2 linked regions of the Solanum lycopersicum genome follow. The protein of the gene in region 1 binds, or shares a complex with, the protein of each later gene. Links are inferred from orthologs where the notes say so. Each region holds a gene or a part of one and is shown in the gene's direction. Other genes may lie near its edges.

What was found.
Region 2: transcription initiation factor TFIID subunit 11 (region 1) and transcription initiation factor TFIID subunit 10 share a complex: the UniProt entries of both Arabidopsis thaliana proteins name them as parts of the TFIID complex. The link is inferred for Solanum lycopersicum from reciprocal best matches to the Arabidopsis thaliana genes TAF11 and TAFII15.

The regions. Positions count from the first base shown.
Region 1 is NC_090804.1:5,055,620-5,058,564, reverse strand, and holds the end of transcription initiation factor TFIID subunit 11, read left to right. Parts: intron 1-45; coding exon 46-145; intron 146-908; coding exon 909-1,036; 3' UTR 1,037-1,069; exon of another isoform or gene 1,070-1,398; intron 1,399-1,680; 3' UTR 1,681-2,259; downstream 2,260-2,945. UniProt on the Arabidopsis thaliana protein: TAFs are components of the transcription factor IID (TFIID) complex that is essential for mediating regulation of RNA polymerase transcription.
Region 2 is NC_090811.1:67,585,434-67,590,020, reverse strand, and holds the start of transcription initiation factor TFIID subunit 10, read left to right. Parts: upstream 1-1,630; 5' UTR 1,631-2,002; coding exon 2,003-2,101; intron 2,102-2,180; coding exon 2,181-2,245; intron 2,246-3,360; coding exon 3,361-3,423; intron 3,424-4,565; coding exon 4,566-4,587. Other genes in the region: protein GLUTAMINE DUMPER 2, read left to right, coding at 152-610. UniProt on the Arabidopsis thaliana protein: TAFs are components of the transcription factor IID (TFIID) complex that is essential for mediating regulation of RNA polymerase transcription.

The DNA.
Region 1 (2,945 bases):
GCATAATTTATTTTTTGTCGTGACTCTTGTGTGTTGTCGATGCAGTTGCTGACCAACATCACAGGAAGTGCAAAGATATCTATTCCTATGACAATTGTGGTGTCTGGGATAGCAAAAATGTTTGTCGGTGAGCTTATTGAAACAGGTAAATAGACAGATCCACTTGTTATAGAGATAATTGATGAAGCAAACGTTTATCCTTTATTTGGGAATAGCAAGGATGACTTGTCGTTGGAATGATCTTATTTTCGTTCTATTCTTAGACACTAGTGCACAGCTCCAAAATATTTGCCAAACTATAATCAGTTTCTGACCAATTTGCAACAATGAGGCATTAAAAGCCCAAGACCAGTAATATTATCCGTTACTGAGCATGTTGGTTAACATTCATTTGGAACACTTTACCCCTTTAAAGTAACAAAAGAGTGGCTCTAAAATGTCTTCTATGTACTCACACATCGTACCTATGCTAAGTAAGCACCCGCCAATGTGTCTGAAATTGCATTTGACGTGTCTGACTGGTTAAGGATGTTTGGCACTATAACTAGGGAAAACATAGGACTTTTTAGCAAGAACAATAAAATGACTCTCCTGCCTCAGTGTTGGCCCAGGCACTGCCCTCCTTTGTTCCTAGTGGTCTCTGTTACCCTCTACCTGTAAAAGCTCACTGTCACATTGTTTCTCTGCTTTTCCTTTCCCTTCTTCAAAAGATCGATAGAATCAACTGAATATTTCGTAAACCTAGGTGAACACGTTTAACCAATTTCCAGTCTAATTATGCAGTAAAGAGTTGCCAATCTTTAGTGTTTCAAGGTGGAAGTGTCCTCAGTTAAATAAAGTTGAAGGGCTATACTGCATTGATTTTCTCCAAGTAATGGTGCTCACTCATCTTACAATACCTTTTGCAGCTAAAATGGTGATGGCAGAGAGAAAAGATACTGGCCCAATCAGGCCATGCCACATAAGAGAAGCATATAGAAGGTTAAAACTTGAAGGCAAGATTCCAAAAAAATCAGTGCCAAGGCTTTTCCGGTAGTGAACGTGGAAGCAACCTGTAGTTATATTTCAGGTTCATTGTCTTCCTATTGCTTACAAGTCCTCTAATGTGTCTATGTTGAATTGTCGCAAATCCTTAATTATCTTGCACTTCCAGGTCAAGTAAACATTGCTAGTCACAAAGTTGTCGAGTTAGGACACTTTTGCATTGCCTATTATATATGGGGTTAATCTGTTAATTAAATTACTTAATTAGAGGGAAGGAGTTTAACATTTGTGAAAATATTTGTACTGCCCGTAACCTGGAACTGAAAATGATGGAAGGAGAACACTAAGATTGCAACATCTTGGCTAAAATAACAGCATCATTGTATTTTTGGGCAAATCATCATTGTGACCATGGTCGAGTTTGTTGACCATGTTGTGAATTTCTCAATGCACTTGGATGAAAGAGAAAATTGGAGTGACGGGACAACAATGCTTCTTCACCATGTTGTGTGGAGGAGGCATCACAACGGTCCTAAACTTTATCAAGTAGAAAAGAAACCAAAAGATAATTCAGATCAGTTTGATTGTTCTTCTCTTTAATTCTAACTGTGGACGTTGTCGTTCATTTTCAAAATCATTTGTTCACGCTCTTAAGTTTTTACAATGTTTCTCATCCCTTGTTCTCCATTCTCTCAGATTTGTAGTAGTCAGCCACTTTCCTCGCAGAAAGGCGTAAGGATGAACTTGTAAATCTTGGACGAAAAGATTCATGAGGTGTACCTTTACAAGGTGAGGCTTTAGCTTCTCTTTGAAATGTTGGGGTTCCATTAAAGAAGTAAATTTCGAGGGGCATCAGCCATGGTGGGAAGAGAGCTCTCACCTTGACGAAAGGATTGGCAGGACGAAGATCCTGAACAAATTGTTTCTTAACTGTGTAGTTTTTGGTGTTGGTACATTGAGTTTCAGCTGTTGCCATCATTTTTCCCTTTTTCCAGAAGGGCATACTTAGGATACATGAAATTATGAAAATAGTAGAAAATGTTTGGAAAAAACAGATCGAGTTAAGTGGCATTCCAAGTTTATTGTCTCTTTTCCACCTACTTAATTCCCCCGACCCGTTCCGGATCATCCCAAACCCCGTTACCCCGAACCCCCACTTTCCAACCCCCTTTCGTTTTGTTAGATATCATATAAATAGTATTGGAATAATGTTTTCCTGCTTAACTTACCAAACATAAGAAAATAAATAAGAAATCTACTTGATTGCTGAGAAAACATTTTTTAGAAAATCATTTTCGGCTAAAAATATTTTCCTTTCCTACCAAACACACTTGGATATTGAAAAAATCAATCATTTGTTAAGTGTATACATTAAAAGGATAATAGTATAAAATGACAAACTAATAACGTAAAATAAATATAGTAGCTACCGTTTGATTTATTTGTATTCCATAGCAAACGGTTTGTCAGTCGCCTCTCTCCCTCATATTCTCGCTCGCCACTCTACCTCTATTGTTCGCTCCCAGTCGCTCGCCGCTCTCGCTTTATACAATAGAGCGAAAATTGTATAAAGCGAGAGAAAATTGTATATATACATACAAATACATATATCTTCATCCTATAAACTTATAATTATACAATGCAAATATTTTTCTGCCCAATTTTCTATTGTCTTATTCTCTTTCTTGTTTTATACATACACAAATTATACAATTGATTTGTTTAATTTTTTGCATTTGTATAAGGATACTTTTGTATAATGTTCATTTAGACATATACTATAGCACAAACTTATACACATACATAAATTGAAGTATGTTTGTATAATGTATATATATTGAATCATACATCCAAACTAAGGACGAATATAAGTATACATGTTTTCTCTTTTTTCTTTACTTTATACAATTTCTTCTGCACTGCATAAATATAGTAATTATACGATTCACCAAACAACGATT
Region 2 (4,587 bases), on another chromosome or scaffold:
TCTTTGCATTTCTCAAGCCAAGCTAAGTTTTATTTTTCTTATTTTCTTTGTTCTAAAAGTTTAATATTCGTTTCGCTCGCAAAAAATTTAATAAATTTTTCTATCGAAAAAATAAAATATTAGACATTTCATCTTCGAAAATAAAATAAAAATGCGAACAGTAAGTACCTTTACTACTGCTTCTCCATCAGTCTCTCCATCGGCGATTGTTCAAAAATCGCCATGGCATTCGCCGGCGCCGTATCTATTCGCCGGCGTAGCGTCCATGCTAGTGTTAATAACTTTTGCTTTAGTAATCCTAGCTTGTTCTTACTGGAGACGATCCGGCTATCCGAGAGAAAACGGCGATGTAGAATCCGGCGACGGCGAGAAATCGACCGGTGATGTTTTCAAGGCGTCGCCGGTTTTTGAGGAGAAAATAGTTGTGATAATGGCTGGAGATTTGAATCCAACTTTTTTGGCTACGCCTATTTCGAGTAGAGGTAATTCGTTTGGTGCTGGTGATAAAATTGAGAAGAAATTGGAAAAGGAAACTGAAGAATTTGATGATGAGAAGGCGAAAGATGAAGCTATGGATCAAGCTCATGAAGAATCTCAAATCGGCCATTGATGAAGCTACTGAGCTTTGAAAAAAAAAAAACAGAGCAATTTTCTCTATTTTTTTTTTTGAGTTCTTCCATTTTTGGTTTAATTTTTCAATTTTGAGATTCGGGAAATTGTACTCAATTTTGGTTGAGATAACAAAGAGTTAGAAAAAATTTTCGTTTTCGAGTAATATGTTTTCACGGAAATTGTTACTTCGATTTGATACGTGTTTTATTAGCTAACGATAATCATAAGAGTCATTTTGCTAAAAAATAAATAGATCGTTTTTAAATTTTTCAATGAAAAAAGTAAAATTGATGATATATTTTTAATATAATGAATGAAAAGAGTAGAATCAATTATATATCGATTTAGAAAATGAATTATTTGAAGAATCTCGAATGTATGTGCATATGTGACGTTTGCGATTTTATATCTATTGTGATTTACTAATTATATTTGATAATTTATAGTAATTAAATATGATTTAAAAATCATGCTTATTCATGCAATTTATAGGTCGTATCTATCGAATATGATATATAGTTAATCTATAAATTGAGTTACTATTAATATGTAATTTATAAATTATATTTATCTAATATAACTTTCAAATGATGCAAATCAAATGTGATATTAGTCATATTTGTGAAACATGATTTATAATCGTGCTTACCAAATCATTCAAGTACCAATTAAGTTACTCAATTGTATTGTAATTAAATTAGTTATCAAATAATATCCAAATTGTTTACTCAATAATAATATAATTCATTTTAATCTTCTATGATAGAGAAGAATAAAATGGCTAACATAAGTGATTATGAGTGTGTGTATATATATATATATATATACTTCAATGTAAATTTTAATTGCGTTTGGTTTGATAGAGAATAAAATAATTTAATTATATTTTTATTTTATAATTTTTTTAAATGTTATGAACTATCAAATTTAAAAAATAAAATAAAATATAATTTTTTTTTTTACGAAATATTATCGTTAGCTAGGTAAATATATATGCCCCTCTTCGCGAACGAATTTCACATAACAAAAATACAATTCTCCTCTATCTTAGGCCTTTTCTCATTTTTTTTCTTTTTTGCACAATTGTGGAGAAACAATTTTGAATTTTAAAAAATAATCAAAATTATAATATTTCTATATCCTAGAAGGAAAATAATATTACTTTTTCAATATGTGAGTTTAAAAATAATTTTTATATATATTTTTAAATATTTTAAATTATCGTAACCATAGTAATTTTACTTACCTATTACTAGAATATTTTTCTTCAGTTTCTTCTTCCGATTTTTTTCTCAAAGTAAAAAGGCACAAATCTTCCCCAATTTTCCTCCGGCGAAATTGAAACTCCGACCACCGCCGATCCTCCGTTGACTCTGTTTCGACGGTGAAGATGAACCAAAGTCAAGGTCAACAAACAAGTGAAGGAAGACACGAGGATGATGCTGTTCTAGCCGATTTCCTTGCTTCCTTGATGGACTATACTCCCACTGTGAGCTACTTTTTGCCCTTTTTCTTACTGAAGAGATCAATTTTATGTTTTATTTATGTAGGTTAACGCTTTTGATCAGATTCCTGATGAATTGGTGGAGCATTACTTGGGTAAAAGTGGATTTCAATGTCCTGATGTTCGATTGTATGTATTTTCTTCCCATTCTTATGTTGATGTTTCTGCAATTTAGCCTGCTTAGATTAGTTATAGAAAAATTGTTTGGATTGCTCATAAGGAAGATATGATTTTCGTGTGTTTATCTAGAACTATTTTCACTAGGTTTATCCTCTGTCTTGAGCTAACCGTAGTCTTTAAACTCGAATACGATGAACGCGCTCCTCAACCTACGTTTATTTTGCTTGGCGTAGCGAAAGCTCTACACTTTTGCCAAGTGAGCTAAGCCCTGGGGGTTCAAAGGGAGATATTATGTTACTGCAGCAAACAAATAAATTGGGCAAAGGTGCCCATATAATGATGTAAAATCCAGCTTGGGAGGATGTCCTCCCAAGATATTTCCTTCAACGAAGTAATAGAAAACTTAGCTGAATTATGTGCTAGTTTTGTTTAGACTTCTCGGAATATGAACAAAGTCTACATGATCAAGCAAGCTCTTAGCTTCCAAATGTCTTCACAAGTCACCTCTATCTCCCATGAGGTAGTTAACTTTTTCCTGAATCATAATCAATAACACTCTTTGCTTCCAATAGGATTCTCACATCCTTCCAATTGTTCCTGATTGTACGTTCAAGAGCCACTCTTAAAGCAAGTGCTTCAACAGTCATAGCTTTTCCCGCAAACTGGATTGGGGAAACATGGGCATGAATCAGTTTTCCAAGGCTTTCCAGAGCTGCAACACCAATATTTGCCAGTCCAGTATCCACCTGTAAACCTGCATCAGTAAACAATAATATAACATCTTGGTGGGTTGTTGGTGGAGCCGCAAGGCAATACCCATTTTTATGAAAATTAGATGAGCAATTAGCTGAATATCTTTATACTCGTAGCAATCAAACAGTGACTAAGCGGCAGTATTCTCTAGTTCCGTTTTTGTTTTGATCGTTTTCTATTTATCTGGTTTAGCAGTAAATTCAAGTAAAATTTATATATCTGTGAATTGGATTGGTATTTACCTTTTTACAAGTTGTAAATTTTAATATTGTAGCATTTGATGTTTTGTTTGACAGTGATGGCTGGTTTATCTTATGTTATCAGTTTTTAATACTGTGTTGTTGTATTGAGTTTTTCCTTTGGATATGCAGAATAAGGTTGGTGGCAGTTGCTACTCAGAAGTTTATTGCAGATGTGGCTACTGATGCTCTCCAGTATGTTTCTTAATTATTTTATTTTTCTTGAATTCTGTTTCCTCCTCCATCTTATGTTAAGTATGCTGCTAATTCTTCGGCATATTGCTCATCGATTGTCCCCTACTCTTGAGGCTTCAATGCAATTGTTGCCTGTCTAGGTGTTTGTCATTGTATGATCCTTCCAACTTTTAAGTGTTCAAGTTGTTCTCCTCCCCCAAACCTTAAAAAAACTCTTTTTGGTTCGTCTCTAATGAATTAGAAACATTAAGTTGGTAATTTTAGAATCCAAGCCTGTTATATTTTTAAAGACTGCCGACCCTAACTTGACTACACTACCAAAAATACAACACCTGAAATTCTCTATTGTTAGCGCAATAATACTACTACCTCAGGAGATTATTGTGTCTGTGACACTCCAAAACCTTAGAAAAGAGACAAAGAAACAGAAAAATACAATATAAAGAAACTAAGATATGACTTGAGTAGACATGTAGAAAGACCTTGTTTCAGAATATATGATTACAAATAACAAAGCATCCAACTTTCTCTGAACTTCCTTTCTTAATGTTTCCAATGGATTGTTATTTTCCTAATGCTTCTACTGGATTGTGGTAGATCTTCTCAACTGTGACAAATCAGTTGTGTTTTGTTTCGTTATCGACTCAAGATTTTGTGAATGCCTCACTTTACTCACTATTTTGCCTTCACTAGTCGTAATGAAAGTAAAACTCATGAAATGCTGTGAGTCTTTTGAGGATAGATTATGGCTTTATCATCGGAAGAAAGAATAAGAGTTTATGAATGGTCTCTTATGTATCCTTCATGTTTAGAAAGAAATGGATATTTATGAAACGGGCCATTCCAATAGAGAAACAACATAATGCCAGTGGTTGAAAGCAGGCAGGTCGATGAAAGTTAGGATATATCAGGAGCAAGGGGTATCTCCATTGGTATTCTGTGTAGAGACTAGAAATATGGTTGAGACAACAAGATGGCAGTGGTTGAAGGAAGGAAAGTTGATGACTTGTGGGTAGACCAGGATAAAGACACCCTCATTTTTTGTGTTGAGACAAAATATAGTTGAATTTTGAAATTCTTGTTAATGTCTTGGAAACCGAGCTTATATTAGATTAACTTTCTTATTTTTCATGGTAATGCAGACATTGCAAGGCAAGGCAGTCA